Mus musculus: one gene and its partners. The protein of the gene in region 7 purifies or fractionates together with the protein of the main gene of each other region. This does not show direct contact. Links are inferred from orthologs where the notes say so. Each region holds a gene or a part of one and is shown on either strand. Other genes may lie near its edges. The genes, in order: Strn3, Gcc2, Strn, Map4k4, Strn4, Strip1 and Zranb1.

Region 1 (3,874 bases), on a different chromosome or scaffold from region 7:
TAGCTAACTTTTAACTTTATAAGTGCAACTTTCTACTAGTAAATGACACAGTTTATTCTTTGCTAATAAACATGTCTGTGGAAACAGGTATACCTAAACAAGACAACACTACTTTCTATTAAGTAAAACTCAGATTTTACAGTAATAAGATATCTAAGCAGATTACTGAAAATATTGCATCTGTGAAATCTGGGGGGTGAGGATGACAGTGGGTGCCATATTTTAATAGCTTAAAAGCTACCCCCTGGTGGTACAAAATTACTCTGAAAAGTATTCTTAATAGTGTTTCTGCTGTAACCTTACTAGAATCTCATTAAGTACAACAACGTATGAAAAGAATAGCATACCCAGCACTTGGGAGGCAGAGGCAGGCGGATTTCCGAGTTCAAGGCTAGCCTGGTCTACAGAGTGAGTTCCAGGACAGCCAGGGCTATACAGAGAAACCCTGTCTTGAAAAACCAAAAAGAATAGCATAAAAATGAAGGACTCCACTAAGAAAGCACCTTCATTTCCTAGTTTAATTGTGGAGAGTATTGCACTTTATTATTCAACACGAAATAATGTGGCCAAGAGCAACATACAGGTACACAATTTAATATTTATTATATGTATTTTATATACATTATTTTTCAACAGCTCTATGTTTGCTCTGGGGTACAATCTTAAAAATCTGCTGATTCATAGTCTGTAAAACAAAAACCTTACAAAACTCATCAAAACTCGCAAACTGATCAGAAAAGGCTTTTGGAAGACTAGAAAAAATACTTTATTGTCTTAATCATGCATTACACAAAGAAAATCTTCAGTTACACCATAAAAGTAAGCACATCTAAAAAGTAAAACAGGGAGACTGTGAGTCCAAATCCAGCAGACTTCTGTGTCCTGATTCAACTTTTTTTTAATATCTTATTTGTAATGGTAATAAAATATTCTCCAATTTTCTAACTAGTTCATTTGTTTTGGAATCATGGTAAATCAAGAATCTTGGGGAGAAACATCTTGGTTTGTAACTTAACTATAAAATATTCCATTTTTAGTCTATTTTAGACTTTTCAAAGAGTTCCAAAATAGATATACAGGTTCCTTTAGCACATTAATAAAAGGATATAAAGACCAACAAAAAGTAAAATAAATAATAGGCTATTAGCAAGATGGATAATCCTTGATAAATAAACTTGTAAATACAGTAAGATGTACAAAATATCACATAGTGATAGGATGTCAAGATTAGTTTTTAAAGAGTTCCTTTGGAGTACTAAACTCCACAGCTTTGTTTTAATACACTTAATAGTCCTTGGTTCATGAAGACATGTAGACAAAGGTGATTGGTTTATCATCTTTATGAAGGACTTAGCTGAGCTGTATTAGGTAAAAGGAGGAAAGAAAGTGGTTATAGGTGGCAGGTTAGTGAGATCTCTGTGTTTTAGGGTTGTATAATGCAGAAAAAACATCAATATGATCTTGAGCACTGTTGTGACAGGCTAAATATATAAAAAGACTTATAAAAACTAGAATTTTATCCAAACATTTTGTGCAACTAATGCTAAAATATTTTAAGTTAAATTTTCTTTTCTTTCTTTTTTCTTTTTTCTTTTTTTTTTTTTAAAGCAAAATAACTTTAAAAGGGAATCTGTGGCATTCACTGATGAACATAAGATCACTAAGAGATGAACAAAGCTACTCTTGGAGCTTGCTTCCCCACCAGAGCACCACATTCCTAACCCTAAGGCAGCACACAGAGTCCAACAAAAAGTCCTTCCCCCTAAGAGCAGACTCCACATTGGCTTAAACACCTTAAAAAACAAAAACAAAAACCGCTCAGTTCATATCCAGTATAGGGCACAGATACTGGAGTCCTTTTTCTTTCTGTCCCACAAAATACAGTTAATTACACTTAAACTAATAAACCTGACATTAGGATGTGATTCCCAATTTCTGCCTGCCCCAATCACCAGGCAGATCACATGTAGTGTCATGTCAGGAACCTTCATGATGGCAGTGATGCAGACCCCCTTTCTGACCAAGTAAATCTTTTTTTTCTAAGATGCGAGTCTATGTTGGTTCACACAAATACTTTGGCAAGAGCATCAGCTCCTGCACTGGCGATATATGCCTTTGATGGATGGAAAGCAACATCATAAATTGACTCATCCAATTTCTTCCTATGAGCTGTTATTTCTTGTACACATGTCTTACTGTCCAAATTCCATAGTCTAATGGAACAGTCATGGCCTGTAAAAGAAGGGGGGGGGGGGAAGCTTGTTACTAAGGAGCAATTCTTTTATAAAGTTTGTAGGGTGTACTGAAGTTCAAACTTACTTCCAGACATCAAATAGATTCCATTGGGATCTACTGCTAAACTTGTAACAGCATCCAAATGAGCTACCATAGAATGGATCATTTTACCTATAAAACATAGCAGAAGATTAATGCTGAGAGGCAACATAAAACAATCACCATCACAGTATTTTTTTTAAGTTTTGGAAAGTATTCACAACATACAAGTTAGTATTTAATTATTTGGGAGCACACAATTCACAGTGAGCAACCACTACTACTTCCGAGCCCATCACTGTGAAAGAAAATCTTGTTCCAAGTATATAATCTTTCCCCAATCCCTAGCAACAATGGCCCTCTCTAGAAACTGTCCAATTCTAGATGCTTTACACTAGATTCTGAATATGTGGCTTTTGTGTCTGGCTTCTTGCACATATTTTTCAAGATGCATCTACCATACTAATAGACTAAAGAAAATTTTTACCATTAGTTATTTTTAAAAGACTCTGCTCCTAAATGAAGCATTCCTCTACAGGTAGGGGCGGGGGAAAGGATGCTCACTGGAGTCAGAGCATAAACAGTAAGTAGGTTACATATCTGAGAAAAGTAAAAACTTGGAAGACTCAGGAAATCCTGCCCCACCTTTTTTTTTAATTAAATTTTAATTGACGTAAATGTGCTGTATGTGTGTCTACGTATGTGCCAGAAGTCATAGGTGTTGGCTTCCTGAAGCTGGAACTGCCTGATGTGGGTACTGAGACCGTTTCCATAAGAATAGTATGTGCTTCTTAGCCACTGAGCCATTTCTCCAGCCCTTAAGTTTTTTAGAAGCAGTAAACAACTCTTTTTAGAGATTTCTCGCATCTGCAAACCTACCTCCAAGTTGTGCAAGAGAGCTCCACCCTTACTCACACTGGGGTGGGCCTTTCCCTATTGCAGCTGGTTTTTGTTTTTAAATCTATTCTGTAAGTAGCTCTCACCGATGCATCCTCCTGTTAGCAAACCTCAGTAAGACCTTTACAGTTCACCAATTAGGACTGAGCTCCCACCCATCCAGACCCTTAGGTAGGAACCCCAGTTAAGACCTTTTTGGTTCACCAAGTAAGATTTAGACACAATCATATTTTGGTCTGTCCTGGGTTCCTTTCCTGGGTTGAATATTGTATAGTGTTTTACTATAAAATCCACTACACAATAAAGATTCACTTATTTGTGTGTGTGTGTGTGTGTGTGTGTGTGTGTGTGTGTGTGTGTGTGTTTGCAAGTTTAAATTTAAGGAAATTATCAAGAAGAAAAAAAAAAAAAACGGCAGACTGGGAAAAGATCTTCACTAACTTTACATCAGACAGAGGGATAATATCCAAACTATATAAAGGACTCATGAAGTTAGACTCTAACAAACCAAACAACCCAATTGAAAAATGGGGTACAGAGCTAAAACAGAGAATTCCCAACAGAGGAATCTCCAATGGTTAAGAAGCACTTAAAAGGAAATACAGAGAAAACTGACCCTGAAATTCCATCTTACACCCATCAGAATGGCTAAGATCAAAACCTCAAGCGACAGAACATGCTGGAGAAGATGTGGAGCAAGAGG
Region 2 (3,500 bases), on a different chromosome or scaffold from region 7:
GTCACAACTGACATTCTCTTGGCCTTTTCTAGAAGCAGAATAGAAGACGTGGAAGTGGCGATTCTACCTCACTAAAGTCTGAGGGAAGACGCTGCACTGGTAAAAACTCGACAAGTACGGGTTATAAGTCCCTAGCTCTGCCCAAAGCTTCCAACCAAGAACACATGCATCTGAAGTCAATAGATGACAGAATTAGAACTCATGCCAACAGACTGATAGGTGTATGTATAAGCCAAACAAAAAATAAATGCATTACACAGAGGGTAACACAATTATGAACATCAGTGGTCTAAGAAGTTGCATAGGCTGCTCTAAGTATAATCAAGAAGGGTTTATATGACTCAGGTTTATTTCCAGTAAGCAAATCCATAATTCATTAATCACAGAATCGACACAAGTCGGTACTCAGTAATCTTTTCCTTTAAGTTTTACATGTTTTTAATTATTACTATTACTGTTTTTATTTTTGGTCTTTGGGCGTTTTGCACGTATGACTGTATATCATGTGCAGGCAGTGCTCTCAGAGGTGGAAGAGGCCACTGAATTCCCTGTGACTGGAGTTAGAGACAGATGTGAACCACTATGTGGGTGCTGAGGACCAAACCCAGAATTGCTGGAATTGCAGCAAGTACTGGTAACCATTGATTCATCCAATATTTTACTTTCTTATCAATTTGTGAATGATGCTCTTATGTGATATGTCAGAACACAAAAAGGTCACCCTCCCACACAGTCACACATACTTCTTGTGGATGGCTCACTCTTGAGCTGGAAGAGCTGAGCTTCCAGCTTGGAGAGCTGGTGCTGCAGAGTCTCCACTGTCTTTCTGTGCTCATCCTGCAAGTGTCGAACTTGGTCTCGGAAGCTGGTACGGAGTGCTTCATTCTGGGATGTTAGCTGACACATTGTCTGCGAGTGCTCAGACTTCATCATGGTGTTCTCAGATTGAACTGAACATAGCCTGAAGGTGAGAAGAGCTAAGTTTGTATGAGAGTGCTACACAGCAATGGACTACACTTGCTGAAGCAGCCTGTCAGCTGGATGCTCTGGGTTCAGTGCCCAGCACCATAGAAACTGGACACATTAGTACATCCTTGCAATCTCAGCACATAGGGGTGGGGCCAAGAGGATCAGAACGTCACCCTCTTTTACATAATGAGTAAGACTAGCCTGGGAGATGGAAAGCCCTGTTACACTTTTAAACACACACTTTAACACAAACACATACACACACACACACACACACACACACACACACACACACACACACACAATATTATTCTATTGTTATGTGATTTTATATAGGCAGCTCATATAAGATTCATCTACCTATTCCATACTACCTTGAACATGAGAAAAGGATACTTTTCATAAAGAACTCAAGGACTCAAAGGAAAATATTCATTTTTGAGTGAACTAGCATGAATCACATAGACACAAAGACCTGATTTATTACAGCTAGTTCTAACTTTTCCAGCACATCAGATTTGCTGGTTTACCTTGTAAAACACTAACACCTAGTGTCCATACTCCTGCTGCTGACTCTGAGGTAGTGGGGTCCTGGGAATTAGCTACTAGCAGCAGTCCTCCACTTGGGTTTGAAACAGTCAGGGCGACAACAGTGAGCAGACCTTCACTTGGGGAGCAACTACTTTATTAATTAATTAAAGTTTATTCTTTTTATTATTATGGTGTGTGAGTGAATGATGGGTGTGTTATGGCCATATACATGGCAGAAGTCAGAAGACAAGTTTGTAGTCACTTCTCTTCCTTCTTCCACTTGTTCATGGGCAGCAGGGGCTGAATTCATGACCCCAGGCTTGCTCAGCAAGGGTCTCCCTGTTTAGCCATCTCAGCAGCCTGAGCAACAATTTTTTAAAACAGTTTATTTGTATCTTTGTTATTTTATGTTTGGTTTTAGCAAACCTCAACTCGAAAACATGAATAAATTTCCAGAAATATTTGCTCATAAGAATTAGAAGCAATTAGAAGCCAGTTAAATCTGCCCTCTCCTGGGTCTCATGCTTGCCAGTCTCTAACCTGATTCCAGTGTTAAATGAACATTCTTACCTATTGGGAGTATAATGTATTAAAATAAAATTTTCTGTCATAATTTTATACACCATATTAAATTAAAATGGATTTAGTGGCTAAAGAAAAAAATAAAAAAATCATTGATCTTTTTCTTTTCTCTTCTTTCCTTTCCTTTCCCCCCACCCCCCTTTTCAAAGACAGGGCCTTATAATACAGTTTGAGATGGACTTAAACTTGTTATGTAGCCCTAGTCCTGAGCCTGAATGCTGAGACTACATGTATGTGCCACCATGCCTGGCTTTAGCAAAAGGGGTCTCAATGACCAAGTTCATAGTGACTAGTAAAACACTGTACATAGTGTTTTGCAAGCATTTTGTTCATGATAGTTACAAGAACATAAAGGAGAAATCATCATCAGTTACAACAGCTTCCTGATGGCTGAGACACAGCTCGGAAGCATAGCACTTGCCTGTGTTCAATGTCTGCCATTATACCAGGAGTACTTGGTAGTAGCCTCCAGGTGCTATCCACAATGGATTTATCACAAGCTAGCTGCCTGCAAGCTCCTCACATGCAACTGGAAATCCAGTCCCGACAGAAGCTTATCATTCTGTCCCAGTTGTGACTCGGGTGTTTATATTAGTTGGGCTCTGTAGGTTGTATAAACATTGGTTGGCCTCATTAGTGAATAATTACTTTAATTCCTCTTTACAGCAATAAAGAAAATGCTTTTTAAAATTTGACAGTTGGGTTGGAAAGCTTTTTTTTTTTTTAAATAAAGTTCCTGATTATAAAGGCTGTAGGCAAGGTGCAATATCAGATGTTAGTTGTTCTCAAAAATGCTTAAGATAAAAACAGTCTGAAGGGAAGTTTGCTAGTAGGTAAGGCAGAGTTCTCAAGCCTCTATAAGCTCTTACTCCTGACTGCAATCCAAGGGGGGGGCGGGGGGCACAGCAGAGTGCCAGGCTGCTTGCCTGCTACCAATGGCACTTGCTGCTGCTGCTGGCAGCCTTACTTTTCCCGAAGTTCTGCCTCTTTGGTCACAGTTTCCTGCAGCATCCGGTTGTGCCTCTCTAGCAGAGTGTCGTGCTCAGCCTGCAGGGTCTGGTACTCCGATACACTGATTTGTAAGCTATTTTGGCTGTCCTGTAACTTGATTTTCAGTTGGTCAATCAGCATTTCCAGGTGTTCCCTAAAACAGAAATAGTTTAACAACATTTATGAAAGAGGTAAACTCATTTTGTGGCCTCAAATATGTTTGCTGTTTCAGTGTCAGACTCTTGGTGACTGGGCATGATTCTAAAGAATACATACTCACAAGAATTACAATAGTTAAAAAATGTTATATTGACATGGCAAGTATCAGGCACTACAGATTTACAAAAAGATGTTTCTGGAGTTTAGCCTATATAGCTATGGTTGGCCTGATACTTGCTACAGAGCACAAACTGGCTTTGAACTAGCTG
Region 3 (3,500 bases), on a different chromosome or scaffold from region 7:
AAACCCAACAATTAAATTTTCAAACAGATTAATGGTGTGACAAACAGAACAGCTACTTACATCATAAGCTAGTGAGTCTGCTTCATTGGCCACCGTGAGGCCTGCTAATTCTCCAAGCCCCAGCTCGCTCTCAAGGGCTTCGTCTGCTCCCATGATAAATGACTTCCCAGAAGAAGGGGGGAATGTCAGCGCTTCCACTGAGGAGACAAAGGCCAGGTTACACACCTAGACAACTCACAGCGAGGCTTGCTTGCATTACACTTCTGCTAAGTGATCATGTACATTTTTACTTGATCAATTTTCTGGGTTGGTTTGTCTGTTTGTTTTCTGAGCCTAGGCTGGCCCAGAACAAAGGTAATTCTCTTGCCTTGGCCTCCTAAGTGCTGGAATTACAGGCCTGAGAGATTATACCTCTATTACTGTTAGGAAATTTTGCAAACAGTGAAATTTCCTAGCAAAAAACAAAAACAAAAAAAAATCTTAAAGACTGCTTGTTCATATATTATCCTGCTAACAGCATCATCTAGTTAGAAAAGTAAAAGAGAAACAGACCTAGTAATCTACTGTCCTTCCCTTTATCATTACACAGAAACTAGTGAGTCTAAAACTAAGGTTTTTCTCTATTTTATGATAATTACTCAGATAATGTCTACCTACCAATTACTAAGTATATCAACAAGTAGTTCTTGCTGTATGTTCAACACTGTTGATCTCATACAAAATAAAACCAATCGAGTCTATAAGCTGGAATATTGTAGACATTTCAAAGTGAAAACTCTACAATGTGCCTATCTAAGAAAACTTAATATACACTGTTAGAAGTCAGAGTTCTCTCCTGAGGTGAGACAAGTGACAGAGGTTAAAGGCCACAGAGGACGCTACATTAGTAATATCGAGCATCGCTACTTTAGTGATTCCCTGTTCCTTGATCTGAGGGTGACCGTATCAACAGGCCGTGGCTACTTCTGATTTGTGACGATTGAACGAGATGCTCCCATGTTTTATTTTTGTTGAGCGCATTAAATAGTGGCTATCTGATTTAAAAACAACAGTGGCATCTGGATGTGCACAACTTTAACCCCAGCACTCTGGAGGCCCAGGGAGATGAACTGCGAGGCCAACCTGGCTGACATAATGAACTCAGGCCAGCCAGGGATAAGCAGTGACAAAAACTAGGACTAGTGACAAAAACTCAAAATCTGTCAGAAAAAGAAAATCACTGTCAGAATAAACCATGACACAAATTAAGCCACTCTCAAGCCACACATACACGAGAGTGGCGCCAGTAAGAACTAAGCTCCCCCTAGCACGCTGCGCATCCCCTGCAGGGGTCAGACAACCCTAGCGCTCTGCAGCCTGACAACTGTCCAAATGTAGTTTTCAGGTCAAAACTTCAAAGAACCACTCATGTGCACCTAGGAGACTAGGGATTCCCCAGGTGTCTTTTCTTTGTCCTATTTCCCATTTCTAACATTTTTATAAGTGAGGTAAAAATGGCCTGTCCTGCAGACAGTAAGACTTCTTAAGACTTGTGGAACAGAGCACAGCATGGGTGCGTGGGTTAGTAGTAGCTAATGCTCTAGGAAGGTCTAGCCAGGGAGGGGTCAGAAGAGAAAGCAACAGGGATGTCGCATCTTTACGTGGGTGGGCATCTTGCTCTCTGGGTCCTCAGAAGTGAAGAAATAGGTTACAGTACCTTGGGTAACTACATAGTGCTGCCTTAATCAGCTTCTAGAAAACCAACAAGACCTCAGCTACTACCCGGGACTAAGGAAGCTCTTCCTGAGTGCTGGGGGAGACGCTTTAGTGACGGGCGAGTAACTGTAAAGTGAGCAGCCCTTCCTCTCCTTCCCGCCACCCCACCTCACTCACGTCTGCCCACGGTTTTCCTCTACTCAGTCCTTCGCCTCAGTGCTGGGGATGAGCTGAGCTCTGCGTGAGGCAAATGTCATTTCACCAATTGACAAACATTCCCAATCCTAAACTTTCTACATTTGTATACCATGGAACTGCACTGTGAAAAACTAGAAACAATCAACATATTTTAAAGAAAGAATTTGATTTCAAATCTAAAGTATAATATGTAGCATTAAGGCTGAACTTGAAAATCAACAGTATGATTGTATACTAAATATAAAACAAAACAGAACTAGTCTACATGATGGCTGTAACTACGTTTTTAAAAAGTATATGCCAGCAGATAAGGACTTTTGAAAGGGACCAAAGAAACATGGGAAACAGAAAATATGACAATAGGTGGCTTTCCCTCCATTTTGTTACTGTTACTTTGGGACAGGGTCTCACTGTGCAGTCCTTGGCTGGGTTGGAACTTGCTATGTAGAGCAGACTGGCCTCAACGCATAGAGAGCTAGTTTCCTCCGCCTCTGAGTTCTAGGATTAAAGCATGTGTCATCATGCCTAATGTCGCTGCATTTTTTAAAACGTGTTTATGCTGACTTTCCAACTTTCTGACTCAATTTCCTCACTGCTGGCTTGGAATTAACAGTTAGCATTGAGTTGCCATGGAGCTAGGGAATATTCAAAACCAGAAACTAAGAGTTGGTTCTTAAATTTATGCCCTTCACTCCAAATCACAGACCGATGCTAAAGACCGCCTTAAGGAAGCGGATGTGTGCAGACTGTGTGCTCTCTGAGGAGGCTCAGTTCGGTCCTAGGTCCACGCGCTCACCTTCATCTGCCCTACTGAGCTCCTGTTCTGGAAGCCTGGAGCTGCTGGGTCTGGAAGGGGAGCCAACAGATGGCTGCAAGGAGGGAAGTTCATCAACGTCTCTCAAATTAGCAAGCATATCTTGTAGTTTTGACCTATTGGGCCCTAGCCAAAAGAGGTGGGAGGGCAGAGGAGGAAAAAGAGAAAACAGAATCACTCATCTCATAAAAACTGCACAACAAACCTTTTCACACTGCCAGCATTTACCTTCAAAATAGCCTACTAGATTCATCAATAAGCAACAGTCATTTTTGAAGTTTTCAAATTTTAAGAGTTTATTACTGCTGGAAAAGAATTATATTTAAATATATGTTTTATAAATTAAGTTAATGGAATCACTACACGAGAAAGAATGTCATTTCTAGTATGTATCATTAAAAGGCATACTCATCTACAATGAAGCCAATGACTAGTGGTCTAAATGAAGCCAATCACAGATCATGAACCGAATGTGAACTCAGTTGAACAGTAACTCTGCTGCTTGCTTAAGTTAAGTTACATTCACTGTCTACATCCTGCAGCTACGGAACCCGGAATGAAGTCTCATGTCCTACTGACTACTTACCTGGGCTTTGTCTCTTCATTCTCCCACATCCCTGTTTTGACTGTTTTATATAGGATAGAGGCTGAAACAGATCTTCGGTAGTTTTTCCTGTTACAAGTTTAATTAAGAATGGGAAAATCTTACCCATAGTCCGTTATGGTATTTCCTTTACCAGCAAAGAATACAACTATTTCTAAGCAATTTTAACTAGTACCTAGAAAAATTTAA
Region 4 (3,982 bases), on a different chromosome or scaffold from region 7:
GTGCATGCTTAAAAATGTCCCTAAAGATAGGGTGTGTGTGTGTGTGTGTGTGTGTGTGTGTGAGAGGGAGAGAGAGAGAGAGAGAGACTGAGAGAGAGAGAGACTGAGAGAGAGAGAGAGAGAGAGAGAGACTGACTACCTACCTGTAAGTAAAACCAAGCACTACACTACTATGTATGGGTTACACGCACCTTTTACATCAATGTCTTAAGAGATTTGAACTCAATATTTTTCAACTGCACTGGGTATAGTTAACACATCCCCGTTACTCCCCAAAAGCAGTGTTTAGCAAATCTACTTCAAAAGCCTGGGGGCGGGGTGGGGGGCGGTTAAAAGAGGAGAGGTAGAGGACAAAGAACTTGCCCAGATTAACACCACAAAGTGTCCACCTTTTAAAACCAACTAAACCCACGCTGGCCTTTTAAAAGGCACTACTGCTTTCTGGCTTAGTTCTCTACCCGCAGTTTCCACGCTGACCCAGGGAAACACAAACAATCCAACTACTGTGTAATCAGGTCAAAAACAAGCTCTGGCTAACTCACTTGGAAGAGTCTACTCACAACTTAGATCTGGCCAGAAAAACTAGGTTAGAAAAAAACCAATCCGTGCTTAAACAAACTCTGGAGCTGGGAAGAGTGTCTTTAAGCCAGTTACCAGCCAGCCACTCCAGTGAGTTGCAACACAGTCTTTTCCAAAATTTTCCAAAGCCTTCCAAATTCAGTTGGGCCCAGCAGGCTGTTAACAGGGCTCCCTTTCAAATTCAAAAATCTGGCCCAGGCCCCAACAGTTAACCAACAAAACATGCTAATTCACTTGAGATCACCTAAGAGTACTGACTCAGGCTCTGACCACAGGCAGGCCTGTCAATACCACCTTCCAGGCCCCGTGCTGGGGAGAGGGGGAAGCTGGAGCCCCGGAGAAGCAATCTTGAGCACATAAACCCTATTCACAAGGCTGAAAAGGGACAAAAGAATCCACACTTAATTTGGCCTCAGAAAATGTCTACAGTCAGCTTCAACCACCACCCCCATTTTTAGGGAAACAATGACAATTCTTCATGGTGAGCCACAAAGCCCTCCTTCATAAGATAATTTTTCTCTGTGTGTGTAGCTCAACCTTGACCCAGTCCCAGTAACTAGAAAACTCCCCAAGCAAAGATAATTCCAGAAAACCGTTTACCAACAAGAAGGAAATCAGGAAACCGAACGAACGTAAAGGTTTTTGCTTTGTTTTGTTTGTGTTTTTTTTTTTTTTACACTTCGGAGCCTGAGCCGCCTTCTAGACCGAGCGAGCGAAACAGAATGAACAACAGTTCACAGCCTTAGGTGCCAGCTCCGCGGCGACACAGGCCAACAGATTCCTCAGCTTCATCTGCAGCCCAGGGAGGAGGATAAATTTAAAGAGAGAGAACGACCAGGGGTGGCGGGTGTGAAGTCTGGCATCCTCTCTACTCCTTGCTCTCTCTCCTCCCAGCCATCTCAATTACACAGCTGTCACAAAGGTTATTCCTGGAATTCACATTTTATAATCCCCACACTGTAATTCCTCCTGTTCCCGTGGCCCAAAAGCACACTCCCCCGCCCGCTTCCCCAAGATACTGTCCACTAGAACAGGGTATGCTGGCCAAGCTTTAAAATCAGTACCAGGTAACGCTAGCCTCCCCAAGTTGGAGCCTACGGCAAGCACTCCGAAGGCAGAAGCACGATGACATGTCTCAAGAATACCAAGGCAGTGGCTGAGTGGAGTCATAGGCAAGGCCTGTCTACACCGAATTTTAATTCACGGACAAACGCAAACGCATGAAGGCCAGATTTGGAGGAAAGGGGGTTTGGGGGGAGACCCTGTGGTCACCCTCGAACACAAAATTCCTTTTCTATTTTGCTAAAGCCAAGTGCATGCCTAACAGTGTAGCTTATTTCCTTTATCTCAAAGCCAGGAAATGAGGTCTTTTAAGGCCAGTCTGAACACAGGCAAAAAAACAAAAAAGAAAAAGAAAAAAAAAGAAAAGCCAGGCGAAACCCCCTTTCCCAACTTTGGCCAGGCGGCACGGCCTGCAGTCAGCAGCGTTTCGTCACCCTTTCCCTCGTCCCCTAAGAAGTTTCTCCACGCCACGGGGAACAAAGGCGCCCCACACCGACCTTATAGACTTGTCCATAGGTGCCATTTCCAACCACTTCCACCAGCTCAAAAATCCCAGCAGGGTCCTGGAGAGAGAGGAGGGGGAGGTTATCAACTCAAAAGAGGGACCCCAACCGAGGAGGGCGAGAGGGCGGAGGGAGGGATGCAGGGCGGTGACAAAGGCTCGCCCCGCCGGGTCCCCGGGAGCGCCGTGGCACCCGCCCGCCCGCTCGCCCGGCAGACAAAGGGGCCGCCGCGCCCGCGGGTGTCCGTGTCCACCGCGGCGCGCAGGGCGCGGCCGCACTCACCCGCAGGGACGACAGGTCAATGTCCACCAGGCTCTTCGCGGGAGAGTCGTTCGCCATCTTCCCCGGGTCGCCGCTCCGGGAGCGGGCGAGAGAGCGAGAGACGGGCAGGGGCTCGGCGGCGCCGGGGCTCGGGCCGCACGGGCAGGCCGCCGCCGCCCGGGCGGCTTGTCGTCCGGTCGGAGCGGAGCGCGGCGCGGAGAGCGCTGGCCGCGGAGCTCACACCATGGCTTGGCGGTCCTCCCTCGGCCCCCACCCGCCCCCCGGGCGTCGCCCGCCGCCTCAGGCCCCGGCGCCCCGCGCGCGCGCGCCTGCACGAGCGGCCCGGAGCTGGGGCCGGAGAGCGCGGCGAGCGAGCGAGCGCGAGGCCGCGAGACAAAGATGCCGCGGGAGGCGGGGGCGGGGGCGGGGACGCGGGGCACCGACCGGCGCCGCTGAGGAGGGGCGAGCGACTCCCCCGCCCCCTCCGCCGGGAGAGCGGGCGGAACCCGGCCCTCGCCCTCGCTCGCTCGCCGCCCGCCCGCGTGAATATTCAGCAGGGGTGGGGCTCGAACAATGGCCGGGCGGCCGGCCCTCCGCGGATGGTGGCCCGGCCCGGGGTGGGGCCGGGAGCCCTCGGGGCCTTCCCGGAGGAAGTGCGGGGCGCGGCGGAACACCCCAGCCTCCGCTAACAATGAATGAAAGACTCGGAGCGCCCCGGCGGCCCCGTGGACACCCCACCCGCGCCGCTCGCCCGGGAGAGGGTGTGCCAGGACGCGCCGGGGTCGGGCCTCGGACCCCTCCGCCGCCTACGGCCGGTCGGTCCCGTAGACCCTCGTTTCCTTTTTACCCCCCAAGGGGTGTTCCTCTCCTTTCTCCTTTCCTGTCTCAGTTTGTGGCTTGGTTGCTGCTGGAGGATTCGCTGAGCATCACTTGACCGTCCGGGAGAATCCAAAACAGTCGCTGTGATTGCTCGCTGCTGTGTTCCCCGAGCCAGTTTGGCCCATGGGAGGGAGGGCGGACGGGCGAGCCCTCTGCTCGGGATCTAAAACCCTGACAGTACCTGGATGGAGATCACCACGGGTCACCAAACAGGCTTCTTCCAGCATGCCACAGCAAGTCAGCTAGGCAGTTCAACTACTGTCCCTCTTTATCACGTCCCAGGACCAGCCAAAAACATGTTTAGTGACTCCCTGTTACCTCACAGCGGGTGTTCTCAACAGTATCCCAGAATGGCCAGGTACAAGATCGCTGTAAAATTGCTTGACTCCCACATGTAGAAGGCCTAGAATGGGCCTGATAAGTTAAGAGATGAAGCTAAGCTTGGTGTTACATGGCGCCCCCCAAAATCCACTGTTTCATGGGCATCTAGTTGTCAATAACGTTCTGCACCTCCCTCCCCACACACTCCACACTGTTCTGATTTAAGCAGTACACACCTTATAGCCTCGGAGTAGAAAACCCCCAATACTGCAATTGTTGTACTCAAACCCTAAAGACCCTAGCCTAGAGAGGAGCGAGCATACTCTCCACTTCGGCCTATACCCAGAGTTCAAGTCGCTGCCCCCAGAGAATGTCCA
Region 5 (4,208 bases), about 120 Mb from region 7:
GCTATGGTGTGAATACCCAAGAGAATACTACCCAAGCTATCAAAAATAAGTATTCTCTGCTAATGGGGAAAGGGAACTAAATGTATGACTTATGAAGTGTCGAATGTGGTATATTCTAACACATTCAGGACATGTACATACACACACACACACATCCTGATGTCTGACTTAGAATGCAACAAAAGTAGCAAAAGCATGAAGTTGGTGATGCTGGAGCCTTACAGAGCATGCTCTGTGACTCCACAGAAGGTCACTAAGTGAGTGGGAAGACCTCTTCTTAGGAGGCAGCACATACTGTACACTCTGAGTGGAGTCTGGGATACACAGCATGGCTGACACAGTGAAAGCTGTCAACTGTACCCCTGTCAAGCTCTGCTGTGATGGCCTGGGTGACCTGGTGAGGTCTCTAAGCTTCCTTAGAGACTTTTCTCACCTGTGCTCAGTGTCAGACAGGGAAAAGACACAGTCAGCACTGCCACCACTGCTGGGATCCGTAGCATCTCCCTCCCCTGCTTATTAAAAAAGAGAGGAAGGGATACCATTTCCCCTCTCAGAATGCCACAAGAATTAAATGATAGCATGTATAATACTTAATACAGTGTCAGGCACATAATATGCCCTGAATAAATAGCAGCTGCTGTCGTTATTGCTGAGTGAGGTAATGACATTGGCCCTGCCTACATAATGGGGTATTGAGAAGATCTGATGAGATGTATGCTGGGAAAGAGCCTGAGTTAGAGTTGGGCACAGCACGAGGAGCACTTACATAAGGACTTCTCTCTCAGGGATGGGAGCTACATACACAAAATTCAAATGCTCTTGGCATTCATCCCATGGACAAAAACTGAATCAGTCACTTATTTGGGGCTCCATTTCAATCTGACAGGAAAGAGCACATTGGAAACAGAAAGATGGGTTGCCAGAAACCAAGCGCTGACTGTTTTTGTTAATAACATCCCAGCCTAGGAACCATTTGACTCCTGGGGGCCCATCCCTGAAGGCCTTGAAGTGCTCACCTTTCTGATTCCCCACAAGCAGTACCTAGCTCAAGGTCACAGAGCCCAGCCCAACTTCTACTCCACGAGCCATCACCTGGCACATTCTTCTCCACAAACCATCAAGTCCCTTTAGAGGCCCTTACACAATCACTTCCCTCACGGAGTCCCTCCTCGTGCTGTCTTTTCCCCCTACTCATCACCCAAAGGCACCTCCATCCCTCTTCACCGTGTGCAGCATCTCAGACGCTCCTGTCTTCCCACTGAATATACCCAACAAACGCCCTAACAGTTCAGGGGTTTCTACCTAACATCCTCAAATCTTTCATAACGGAACTCTAATTCCTTAAAGCACCCAAAATGTCGCTTCCCACTCTCAAGCTCTCCTGGGGGAGCCCAAAACATGTCCTCTACCCTCTCCGTGGTTCCACCCAAACGATCCCAATGTGTCCCTACATTGTAGCCACACGTGCCCAAAGTGTCCTTCTTGGACAGGAGGCCACACACTTCATCCTGGGACCCCTTCCTATCAAGCTTCCTCCCACCTTTCAATTGCTCCGGGCCAGCCACTCCCCCAAGGTACCCCATGCCAGCTTCCAGTCTTCCTCTCTTCACTCCCTGCACCCAGTGGATGTTAAGAGTGTGTCACCCCACTAGACATCTAGTCCATTCCACCCTGACAGCCAGCATCTGGTTAGGATCCGGAGGCGAGGCGTGGCATATTTATTCGCGCAGACCCCATCCACTTTCTCAGCACTCTGTCCCCCGGGAACCCCGAGTCGCATCGCCCAGACAGGCTCTCTGGGCTTGGGCTCGTCACTCCCACTCGCGGCTCCCGGCAGACTCGGCCCTGCTCAGATCCTCTGACCGGTCCCGGCCCGCGTCCGCCCCGAGGCCCCGAGGACCCCGCCGCCGGCCCGTCGCCGGCCCTGCCCGCCCCCTCCCGGCCGTCCCGGCGGCCATTGCTCCAAGATGGCGGCGGCGGCGGCGGCGGGTGAGGCGAGGCCGGGCCGGGCAGGACTGGGGCGGGGAGCGCGGGAGGGCAGCGGTGGCGCTCACCTGCAGCTCGGCGCGCTCGGCCTCCCAGCGGGCCTTCTCGGCTTCGAAGCGTGCCCACTCGTGTTGGATAAAGTGCAGGATCCCCGGCAGGCTGAGGGGCTCCGGGCCCGCCGTAGGGCCCGGGCTGCCTCCGCCGCCACCTCCTTTTCCTACCGGGCCGGGCCCAGGAGCAGGGCTGGAGGCCGGGGCCGCCGCCGTCGGGTTGGGAGCCGTGCCCGAGCCCAGAGGGCGGCAGGAGGAGGCGGCCGATGCGACCGCGGCGGCCGCTCGCTCCTCCATCATGGAGGCCCCGGGGCCGGCCCGCGCGCCCGCTGTACCTCGCGCGCCTGCGCGGACGCGCAGCTTCACACTTCTACACCCCCGCCTCGTGTGCGCGCGCGCGCGCGCTGGGCGGGCGAGGGGAGCGGGGACAAGCACGGGGCTGGGCGCGAGCCTCGCCCACCCACCCGGGTCGACCCCGGTGGTGCGCGCGGGCGGGGGTGCTGACAGGGAGGGGGAGGGACTGCCTCTACGTAGGCAAAGGACCCAGGGTCCCTCGCAATTGTCTCCTTTGCGGTCGAGAGACCAGACCGGACTTTTTTTTCTGCATTCTCCCCAATGTCAGAGTCCTATCCCCTCCAAATGCAAATACACCCCCATCTCTTTCACTTAGTGAAGAAAAAAAAAACAAAAAACAAAAAAGACGACCTGGGGTGGGGAGTGGGCTCTGACCAGAGGAAGTCGGTTGTCATAATAACCCTATCCAATCTGGAGGCCCCTTCCCAGTTTGCATATGTGGAGTCCCAAACCTCTACTATCATTGCACTAGGAGGAGGTTGCTAAGGTAACCCAAGTCCCTGGTGGTTCTTCTGACCCTATCCTCATCAGTTACTATAGCAACCTCCCCTCACCTAGAGCTCAGGTAGAAAAAAGGCCCAGCCCCAAAGACATTCCTCTAAGAGGAATGCCTCTGTCCCACTCCTCCCCCAGCCAACCCAGTTGCCATTACCATGGTAACCATCTCCCCTTCCCTTATGGAAAGTCCATGGATAAACCAACCAGGTGTTTTTATTTAGAAGACAAGTGCTGCTGTGGGACAGTTGCTATGGTTACAGGGCCTGGACCATTTCCAGGGAGATGAGAAACAGTTAAATCCATGCCCTGGTTACTATAACAGGGCAATCTCCCACAGTCTGATGATCCTAGCAATCAGGTCCTGTAAGATAGGGGATGTTTAGGATTAGCTCCAAAGGATGCATGAGTCTAGAGAAGAGGTTGTCATGGTAACAGTTGCTGTCACTTCTGCCCTTCTGGACACCATCATGGAAGAGGGATAGTTATAGCTTACAATTGATGACTCCTACCCACCACATCACTCCTGAGACGACTGAAGTGGTAACCAGGCTTATGGACTTCAAATAGACAAAAGAGTCTGTGACTTCATTAGCTACTTTCACGGGCGGGTAGAATGAAATTGCACTTTGTTGGGAGGGGCTGGCTCATTTGATGCTTTCTGGTTCCTCCCTCAGCAGGGCAGATGACCCAAGGTGAAACCACTCTTCTTGATCACCCTCAGCCTGAAACCTAGGGAGGTAAGAGTCCCTGGATGTCACAGTAATCACATGGGTAACTGCCCTTTCTATGTCCTTAAAGGCTTTCCTGAATGGGTCTCCTTTTTGTACCTACTGTGATTGAAAAGGCTAAGGCTAATTCCAAGTGATGCATACGCTTAGATTTTTTTCATGTGTTTGTTTATTGTGTGCATGTGCATGTGTGGAAGTCAGAGGCTGAGTTGCCGGAGTTGATTCTTTCCTTGTATTGTTTGGGTTCTGGAGACTAAACTCAGGTCTGCCTTGGTATCAAGAACCTGCTGGGCCATCTTTAAACACTGTTTTGTTGTTGTTGTTGTTGTTGTTGTTGTTGTTTTTCTGACAGTCTCATGTAGCCCAGGCTGGCCTCAAACTCAAGCAGTGGTCAAGGATGACCTTGAATTTTCAATCCTCCTGCCTCCACCTCCCAAGTGCTGGGAATACAAGCATTTAACATCAGACTCAGCGTATATAATGTGTGGGGGAAGAAATGGAAAGCTAGTATGAGCTCAGATTCACTCTCTTCCCTGACCACTTTTCCTAGGCAAGGCCCCATGTTACTCACTCCTGCTCCCGGCTGGTCTCC
Region 6 (4,273 bases), on a different chromosome or scaffold from region 7:
AGTGTGGTCTGGTTATCATCCTCTCAGTGTTGGTTCTATGAGATGGTAGAAGTCCTTTTTACTTAAGGGACAAGCTGGTTCTCAGGAGTTGATTCTTTCTCCTCCAGGGTGCACAGGCCATGATAGAAAGAGCTGTTCGTCATCCGGGGATGCTGTGTTCTGTGAGGCTTTGCCACTCCTGATGTCTAGAGGGTTGAGGCCAGTGACCAAGAGTCTTGTACCTGCTTCTTGGGGAGGGAGGTTTCTGGAGGAGGACACTGTAAAAAGTAACATTAAAACCATCTTGGTTACTCCTATGTGTTTGGCACTCAGACGTGACGGAGAATGAGGTGAGAGGCCACCATTTTTGGATGATTGCTCTTTGAGTCAATACAGATGTGAGCAGGTAATTCAGAGTAAACGAGACAGCTACAAAATGAAGGCAGAAAAGCAAGAGCCACTTCTAAGGGATTATTAAACACACCCTCATTTCCCCATGATTTCTCTGTTATATTTTCAATTTCAGTTTTATTTATTCATTTGTTTATCTCCCCCATGTGAATGTAAACTCCACGAAGACTAGAATCCTATTTTTGTTCATTATTATATCCTTAAAAGTATTTGTCAGTGGCTTGAGGACAGATACAACTTCATACTGTTATCCTTAGCCCCCAAGAGTCTCTCTCTCTCTCTCTCTCTCTCTCTCTCTCTCTCTCTCTCTCTCTCTCTCTCTCTCTTTCTCTGTCTCTCTCTCTCTCTGTCTCTCTTCACTTCAAGTTCAAGACAGGGTTTCTCTGTATAGTCCTGGCTGTCCCGGAACTCACTTTGTAAACCAGGCTGGCCTCGAACTCAGAAATCTGCCTGCCTCTGACTCCCAAGTGCTGGGATTAAAGGCGTGCGCCACCAACGCCCGGCTTTTTCCCCTGTTTTGATAAGTGAGATTATTAACGTGGCTCCAGAGGTGTCTTGGATGGAGTTATAATCTGATAAGTAAAACCAGGAGTCCCCAGGGTTGCACAAGGTGTTTCTTACAGAGTCCTACTGACTTGGAGGTTTTTCAGCTGGAAGGTTAGAGAAAAGCCACAACCAGTTGTTAATTGTACAGAAATTCTTTGCTAGGAAAACGTGTCAACTAGACCCATGAGTCAGGAATTGCTTTCTTTAATGATGTCTCCCTAATTTCCCCTTTCATCCTGCCTCACCTTGAACAGGGAGGGCTCTAAAGACAGGCAAAGCGATGATAGACAACGAATTAAAGTGTTAAGTCTCATGGATAAAAAAGACATCTAAAGGGATTCCTGCGAGCCCAGCCGCACGTCTCCGGCTTAGTTCCACGGGAAGGAGGGAGGGGAAACTAAATGACAAAGCCAGGAAAGACCTTGGGAGGTGATTGGCAGTTGCGGCTTTCGACACACGCAGCCACACTGAATATGGCGATTGGGGAAATTTCCTGGAGGAAATCACGCGAGAGTTGCCTGACGGGAGGCCGTCCGCGAATTGAGCCGGGGGTGTGGAGCAGCCAAGATGGAGCCGGCAGCCGCCGGTCCCGGCCCTCTGATTGTGAACAACAAGCAGCCGCAGCCGCCACCTCCTCCGCCGCCTGCCACCGCGCAGCCTCCTCCTGGGGCGCCGAGGGCCGCCGGAGGCCTCCTGCCGGGGGGCAAAGCCCGCGAGTTCAACCGCAACCAGCGCAAAGACTCGGAGGTCAGAGCTGCAGGGGGGCGAGGCTGGCACCGGGCGGGTGACAGAGGGGGTCCCGGGAGACCGGGGCGGCATCCGGGCCCAGCCGGGCTTCCCGACGGCTTGACAGGGACCCTGGGAGCTGTCACTTTACCGGGAACCGTGCAGTTAGCTAGGCTGGCAGCCGCCACAGCCCCGGGGAGGAAAGCCCGGAGCCCTGTCACCAACTCTGCTGCGGCCGGGGGAAGAAGGTCCCCGAGCCGGGGATGGCCGGTCGCCCCCGGGGGCGTGGCCTGAGGCACAGCCCTCCTGGGGTGCAAAATCGGTGGTCTGCTGGCTGGTTAGCCCCTCATCCTTTCCGGCCTCTGATCTTAGCAGGGTGGTGGGCCACGCCAGTTGGCAGCGAAGGGACCCAGGAGAGTTTAGCGGGCGCTTAGAACAGGGCTTCTCTCTCTAGTGCTGCTTGGCCGGCCCCAGGTTGTGTGAGTAGCAGAGAGAGCACATTGTGGCTTCCCTCCGAATTTTAGTCAGCGCTGGATCAAACCGCGGCCAGACATTGCCAAGTATTTTTGCATGCCCAGTGAGCCCAGTTGCTGAGCTGTGAAGGGATCAGAAGTACACAAAGGGCGCCGGATTCTCCTCCTTGCTAGTGAGCTGCGATTCCCTTTGCCCGCGCTGTCTGGAGCTATTCACCTCGCCCCAAGTTAAAATTCCTCCCACTGCTTCCGTTTGCAGAATTCATGAATGAACACACACCCGTCTCGTCGCAGCATTTCAGGGCTTCCTCATCAGCACATTCATTCCCAGAGCGCTTACTACGCAATCTCCTCCACCTGAGACAACTTCCAGTGTGATGAACAGCCAGGCACTTACCGAGAGGGAATTCCTCAAATTCAAATTTGATGCTTCAGCTAGTACCAGATACTAAAGATAGTGTCTTTAAGCCTAAGAAATCAGTTCCCTCCAAACATTTTGTTGTTGTCGCAGGCTCAAATTCTGATAACTTATGTCACAAAGGAACAAGCCCAGAGTTGAGAGGATGAGTTTAGAGTGGCTTTTTTGAAAAAGATGGACCTTTTAGGAGCCTTTTGTTGTGGAATGATGGGTGATCAGTGGCTACTTCTCAGTGATCTCTTAAGTACGAAGGAGTATGGAAGTTAAGTTTGTAAGACCTTTAATGACCAGACTTGTCCAGGTTTTCTGAAGAGAACCCTGAGAATTGAACTACACCTTCAAATTTCTCTTTTTAAATGTTTGAGTGGACTGGAGAGATGGTTCAGTGGTTAAGAGAACTTGCTGTTCTCTCAGAGGATCCCAGCACCCAAGTTGGGCCGCTCACAACTGCCTATTAGCACACTAGCTCCTAGGGATCCAGTACTGTCCTTTTGTCCTCCATGGGCACATGTATACACACACAGATAAACACATAATACATTTAAAATAAGTGCTTTAGGGATGGCGGGATAGCTCAGCAGGTAAAGTAGTTTTAAATTTTCCTGAAAAGCCACAAAATAGTCAGATAAATACCCTTTTGTGCATTTTATTTTATTTGTTGTTTGTTTGCTTCTTTGTTTTTTGTTTTGTTTTTGTTTTTGAGACAGGGTTTCTCTGTGTAGCTTTAGCTGTCCTAGAACTCTGCTCTGCAGATGGGGCTGGCCTCAAACTCAACAGAGATTCATCTGCCTCTTGAGTGCTAGGATTAAAGGTGTGCACCACCCCTTATTCGTGTTATTATGTGGTGCTGAGAATCAGATTCAGGGCCTTGTGCAAGGTAGGCAAACACTATACTGCTGAGGTATGTCCTCAGCCTCTATTACATGTTTTTATTTCTCTTCCTACCTTTAATTTCACTGGATTCAACATCTGGAAGGCCCATCACATCGATCTGTGTCCTTGTGTTGGAGGTGCTGATGCTGCACACCCTTCTGGTGACAGCTGAAGTCAGTAGTTTGGGGATCTGATCAGTGCCTAGAGCACAAGGAGGCTCAGTATGTGCCAGGTAAACTTTATTAGTCCTCAAAACTAGCCAAGGCAGTCGAGCATGCTTCCAGTCACAACACTCCGGAAGCTGAGCAAGGAGAATCAGAGTTCAAGGCCAGCCTGGGCTGCATAGTAAAACCTTGTCTCTATAAAAATACACTGGGGGGGGGGGGCTAAGAAATGGTAATGGATTTGGGGGTGAATAAGACCACAATATATTATATAATGGGAATGAAACTGTCAAAAAAAAAAAAAAGGTCTTAAGCTAAGTTTGAAGCAGAGTTTTGTCATTCCCATTGGGTAAATGAAACTCAACCTCAGTAATGTATACAAATGTTGATTTTAGTTGTGTTTTAATGGGACTGGGACTTGAACCCAGGACTCTACACATGGTAGGTAATCATTTTACCACTAAACTCTGTCTCTAGCCTAGAAGCTCAGTAGTGTATGGAAGTGTCCATTAGTGCCCATTAATAAGGAATAGAGTTATGGCTTGTGGGCATATTATGTCATGTCAGGGGTCATTATCAGTTAGAAGGTTTTCCCTGACCCCACTCTCCATCTCACTCACCCACCCAGCTGCATGCTGAGAATTAAGCCCAGGATCTAGCACCTACTAGGAAGGTGCTCTGTG
Region 7 (3,716 bases):
TGTGGTGACAGTGTCTTATCTCACAGAAGTCCAAATTAGGTAGGCTATCCTAAAGATGAGGCAGTGCTTTGGAGTGAAGTCAATTCCAGAAACAAAACTGGTTAATTTTTAGAGTTTTGATTTTAATATGCCCAAATGTAGATGTGAACTCTTTGTTTGGGGGAGGGAGGGTAACCTAATATTTATAAAGTGACTGAAAACTTCCACTTGTACTTACCTTCTGAAGTAGCACTCAATGCTCACAATTCCAAGGTTCCTGTTCCTGAGAGAATGAAGTGTCTTACAATGTAAGCCTGTCTGGCTGCCTTCTTTTTAGGAGGGTGCTCTACCTTAACTGCGCTATAAAATGAGCTCACGTGGAGTACCTTCCGTATTACAGATCTTGTCAGTGACTGTGGAAAAAGAGGCCCCAACCATCTACACAGCAGTACTTAACATTTGTTATGGCTAGTGTAGTAAACCTAACAGTGAGAAACAGAAAGTCAGATCTGAATCCATGGTGTGCCTAGGTTTTGTTTAATTAGATTGTGGTTGCTCAAACAGTCCTTTAGAAATGATTATAAACTGACTCCAAAGAACGACAACATCAGGATAAAAACAAAGTACTGGTTTCACCCTAGAAAAAGAACCATAAAGTCCACGTAGTTATAAAAGTATTACTGTCCAGTCCATCTGAAAATCCCTATACCTGCCACCCAGCCATGTATCATCTTTTACAAAGGACGGCATTACACTTTCTTGGGACAATAATTATGGCTGTTGGTTTAGTTCAAGAGCTTAACATAGCGCTGATTTCCCAAAGGGGTTGGCCATTTCACAGCCAGCAGTCTGCTAGAGAAACTAATGAAAGCCCCATTCCTATCTTAAGAGTCCAAGAAATGGAGCCTTCTTTAATTCTTTCCCACAGGGAAGAATGGGTACCTATCAAATTATGTGTGGTCAGGGTCACTGGTCATAAATAAATAAATAAATAATATAAATACAGAGGGAACTCAGGAAAGGACACTCAAGAATTGACAATATGCAGAACAAGGCTCAATCCTGAGCCTGACTCTGTACCACAAGGTTTGGGTACAACACAGATGCACCTAGAGACCAGTGTTACCCTCTCAGCTCTCTGTGGCTTATTTGGGAGGAAGGTTTTGCTTAACTGGATCTCTGCCTCCTGAAAAATCAACTCTACACATGGAGATCAGCTATTCTAGATGCTATGGATGCTAAGTACTTAGAATGACAGCCTTCTATTGACTTGGTTATCATTCACTGATCAAAATGAAAACGAAATAGTCAATTTGTAGAAAAACACTAACTACTGGAACAGTAACATTTACCAGTATTGTTACCACAATTCATTTATATGGAGTCACCTACTGTGAAAATTACTTTCTGGTTTTAGCATGCAGCATAAATGATCTTTCATCCTGAGAACACCTTTTTATTAAGTGTTCACAAGAGAGAGAACTAAAGACATAACAGCTCATAAGTTTTTTCTTTTTAGTATTCCAGCAAACTTAAAAGTTGTATACACTTCAATACCATCTCATCAGAAAAACAAGATTTAAAGGTTTCACAGCCTTTTCATTAAAGGGGAGGAGAAGAGGAAATGTGTGTATTTGCTACTTTGCAACTGCTTGCCACATCAGTCTAAGTGCTTATCAGGACACTACATGTTGTGTGCCTGAGGAGGTCAGAAATGTTTACCCAGTACTAACATATACCTGAAGTGGTCAATTAACACTCTCCATAAATTTTTTTTCTAAAAAGTATGGTTTTAACTTTAAATAATGCTACAACTAACCAACATGCAAAAATTCTCAGACTACACAGAAACTGATCATACAATGCATTGACCACCTTACTGCATTTTAAAAATCTTTATTCTGTACTGAACTGTATTCCCAATCAGCCTAACCAAAGGCCTGCCCCTAATACAGGGTCTGCTTAGAGCAGAGGTGACAAAGACAGGAAGTAGCTGAAGACTGTCTGCATGGCCGCCTGGGAACAGAACAGGTTGAGTCCAAGTAACTGTCACATAACCCACCCAGGGATGAGTGAGCCTGCTCCCTTTCCATCCATCCATCCATCCAGGGTAGAAGTGCACAAATGCACCGCCCAGAGTCGAGTAAGAACCCCCTTTACAGGGCACTCTTCCAAACAAATACCTAAATAATGAAAGGGGCAAATCGGAAAAATTGAAAACAACAGAAACTAAAACCCTCTTCAAAAAACAAGAGACAATGTTTATGTTAAGTTCACTCCAAAAACTTGCTAGTTTTTCTTGTAGTTTGTTCCTAAGGGTTTGATTTTTTTTTTTTTTTTTTTTTTTTACTTTTATTGGGCACAACAGGAACTAAATTATTAATAAAATAAAGGCTTGTTTATTTTTATCTTGCCGTGGATAATTTGTACAAAGTTTCCAAATCTCTAAAACAATGGGAAATGGGTCTGGTGTGGTGGGAGCAGGATGTCAGGTGCTAATGAGAGAGAGAGCATCTCACTGGTCTGTCTGCTATGTGCTGTTTATGAGTGCCCATGCTGGGAAAATGGTCTCAGTAACATGAAGATGCTGGTGCACTTTTCCTAGTACACAACTTCTCAAACAACCACATGCGTTACATTCATAGACAGATTTACAATTTGAAAGGAAAAAAAAGTTCTGTCAATAAAATTAGGTTATTTTTTTTCTTTTTTCTTTTTTTTTCTTTTCTTTTTTTTTTTTTTTTTTCTTTTTTACAAACTGTAGTTCAACCAAAGTTCTCCATCTCCTCATGCAGATGCAGTCAATTCTCTCCTGTGAGTGTGGAACAGAAAGATAACTTGGGAGCAGATCCGGCAGGGTATGGCTCGCTCCATGCTGCATATTCTGTTTAGGATACCACACTAACTTTGAGGCCACCTCAGACCTGATGCCTTGGTCTTTTTCTTTCCTTAGGTTTGTTGTCATTCATCCTCATCATCCTCATCTTCCTCTCCATCAGACAGGGATGTACAAGGCCGGATCTGTCTGTAGCGGTCAAGCCATTTTTCTACCATTTGTGTGACCAAGGGGTGGTTTCTCCGCCGAGAGCTTTTCTGCATGGCCACTAGAACTCCCCCTTCAGTCACACAGCAGTCCAGCCACTCTCTGAGCAGTTTCTCTTGCTGCTCCTCATTACCTAGCTTTTAAAGGAACACAAGGAAAAGGCAAGTCACACAGTATGTCAGGCACTTGGTAGGAATAACTGGCAGCTCCTGTGATAATGAAAAAGCAAAAGCAAACAACTGTTTCTACCCCAATTTCAACCTTTTCTCAGTTTTATCATCAAAACCCAGAAGGTTTTTGCATTGAGATTAAATGAAACAGCCTTCTTCACAAAAGGGTCTAAGAAAACACCCTAGAAGGTTAAATTATTTGACATGCCCTTCAGAAAAATACCAAGAGAAAGGTCTCAGCTTCAGACGTGACAAGGTAAGTCCGCTGGGTAAACTACATCTGGGCTGAATTGTACACGTCATGGGCTACTCTTCCTTGACACTGTGCTCGTGTTTGGGAATTACTAGAATACATAATAAATAGCCAATCATTTTCTAGAACATGGGCTTCCTGGGTATCTTTTATACATCCTCACTACCTCTCTGGCTGGTCTACACTGCTGTCACTGCCTTATATGTACCCTCAGCTCCTTGCCCCACGCCCTCTCAACTCACTCTACCCTGGAGTGGTAACACAGGCAGGC

Evidence for each region.
Region 1: the proteins of Zranb1 (region 7) and Strn3 purify together in Homo sapiens (affinity purification with mass spectrometry; 4 studies listed by BioGRID and IntAct, with this or other methods). This does not show direct contact. The link is inferred for Mus musculus from reciprocal best matches to the Homo sapiens genes ZRANB1 and STRN3.
Region 2: the proteins of Zranb1 (region 7) and Gcc2 purify together in Homo sapiens (affinity purification with mass spectrometry; 3 studies listed by BioGRID and IntAct, with this or other methods). This does not show direct contact. The link is inferred for Mus musculus from reciprocal best matches to the Homo sapiens genes ZRANB1 and GCC2.
Region 3: the proteins of Zranb1 (region 7) and Strn purify together in Homo sapiens (affinity purification with mass spectrometry; 4 studies listed by BioGRID and IntAct, with this or other methods). This does not show direct contact. The link is inferred for Mus musculus from reciprocal best matches to the Homo sapiens genes ZRANB1 and STRN.
Region 4: the proteins of Zranb1 (region 7) and Map4k4 purify together in Homo sapiens (affinity purification with mass spectrometry; 3 studies listed by BioGRID and IntAct, with this or other methods). This does not show direct contact. The link is inferred for Mus musculus from reciprocal best matches to the Homo sapiens genes ZRANB1 and MAP4K4.
Region 5: the proteins of Zranb1 (region 7) and Strn4 purify together in Homo sapiens (affinity purification with mass spectrometry; 4 studies listed by BioGRID and IntAct, with this or other methods). This does not show direct contact. The link is inferred for Mus musculus from reciprocal best matches to the Homo sapiens genes ZRANB1 and STRN4.
Region 6: the proteins of Zranb1 (region 7) and Strip1 purify together in Homo sapiens (affinity purification with mass spectrometry; 4 studies listed by BioGRID and IntAct, with this or other methods). This does not show direct contact. The link is inferred for Mus musculus from reciprocal best matches to the Homo sapiens genes ZRANB1 and STRIP1.

The regions. Positions count from the first base shown.
Region 1 is NC_000078.6:51,608,041-51,611,914, forward strand, and holds the end of Strn3 (striatin-3), read right to left. Parts: intron 2,407-3,874; coding exon 2,320-2,406; intron 2,233-2,319; coding exon 2,063-2,232; 3' UTR 501-2,062; downstream 1-500. UniProt on the Homo sapiens protein: Calmodulin-binding scaffolding protein which is the center of the striatin-interacting phosphatase and kinase (STRIPAK) complexes.
Region 2 is NC_000076.6:58,290,026-58,293,525, reverse strand, and holds part of Gcc2 (GRIP and coiled-coil domain-containing protein 2), read right to left. Parts: intron 3,227-3,500; coding exon 3,050-3,226; intron 962-3,049; coding exon 744-961; intron 1-743. UniProt on the Homo sapiens protein: Golgin which probably tethers transport vesicles to the trans-Golgi network (TGN) and regulates vesicular transport between the endosomes and the Golgi.
Region 3 is NC_000083.6:78,667,062-78,670,561, forward strand, and holds part of Strn (striatin), read right to left. Parts: intron 3,381-3,500; coding exon of another isoform or gene 3,294-3,380; intron 2,834-3,293; coding exon 2,690-2,833; intron 198-2,689; coding exon 61-197; intron 1-60. UniProt on the Homo sapiens protein: Calmodulin-binding scaffolding protein which is the center of the striatin-interacting phosphatase and kinase (STRIPAK) complexes.
Region 4 is NC_000067.6:39,899,731-39,903,712, reverse strand, and holds the start of Map4k4 (mitogen-activated protein kinase kinase kinase kinase 4), read right to left. Parts: upstream 2,801-3,982; 5' UTR 2,484-2,800; coding exon 2,427-2,483; intron 2,205-2,426; coding exon 2,139-2,204; intron 1-2,138.
Region 5 is NC_000073.6:16,814,481-16,818,688, reverse strand, and holds the start of Strn4 (striatin-4), read right to left. Parts: upstream 2,801-4,208; 5' UTR 2,337-2,800; coding exon 2,055-2,336; intron 1,990-2,054; exon of another isoform or gene 1,957-1,989; intron 1-1,956. UniProt on the Homo sapiens protein: Calmodulin-binding scaffolding protein which is the center of the striatin-interacting phosphatase and kinase (STRIPAK) complexes.
Region 6 is NC_000069.6:107,628,911-107,633,183, reverse strand, and holds the start of Strip1 (striatin-interacting protein 1), read left to right. Parts: upstream 1-1,473; 5' UTR 1,474-1,503; coding exon 1,504-1,683; intron 1,684-4,273. UniProt on the Homo sapiens protein: Plays a role in the regulation of cell morphology and cytoskeletal organization. Required in the cortical actin filament dynamics and cell shape. Part of the striatin-interacting phosphatase and kinase (STRIPAK) complexes.
Region 7 is NC_000073.6:132,983,176-132,986,891, reverse strand, and holds the end of Zranb1 (ubiquitin thioesterase Zranb1), read right to left. Parts: intron 3,160-3,716; coding exon 2,941-3,159; 3' UTR 501-2,940; downstream 1-500. UniProt on the Homo sapiens protein: Ubiquitin thioesterase, which specifically hydrolyzes 'Lys-29'-linked and 'Lys-33'-linked diubiquitin. Also cleaves 'Lys-63'-linked chains, but with 40-fold less efficiency compared to 'Lys-29'-linked ones.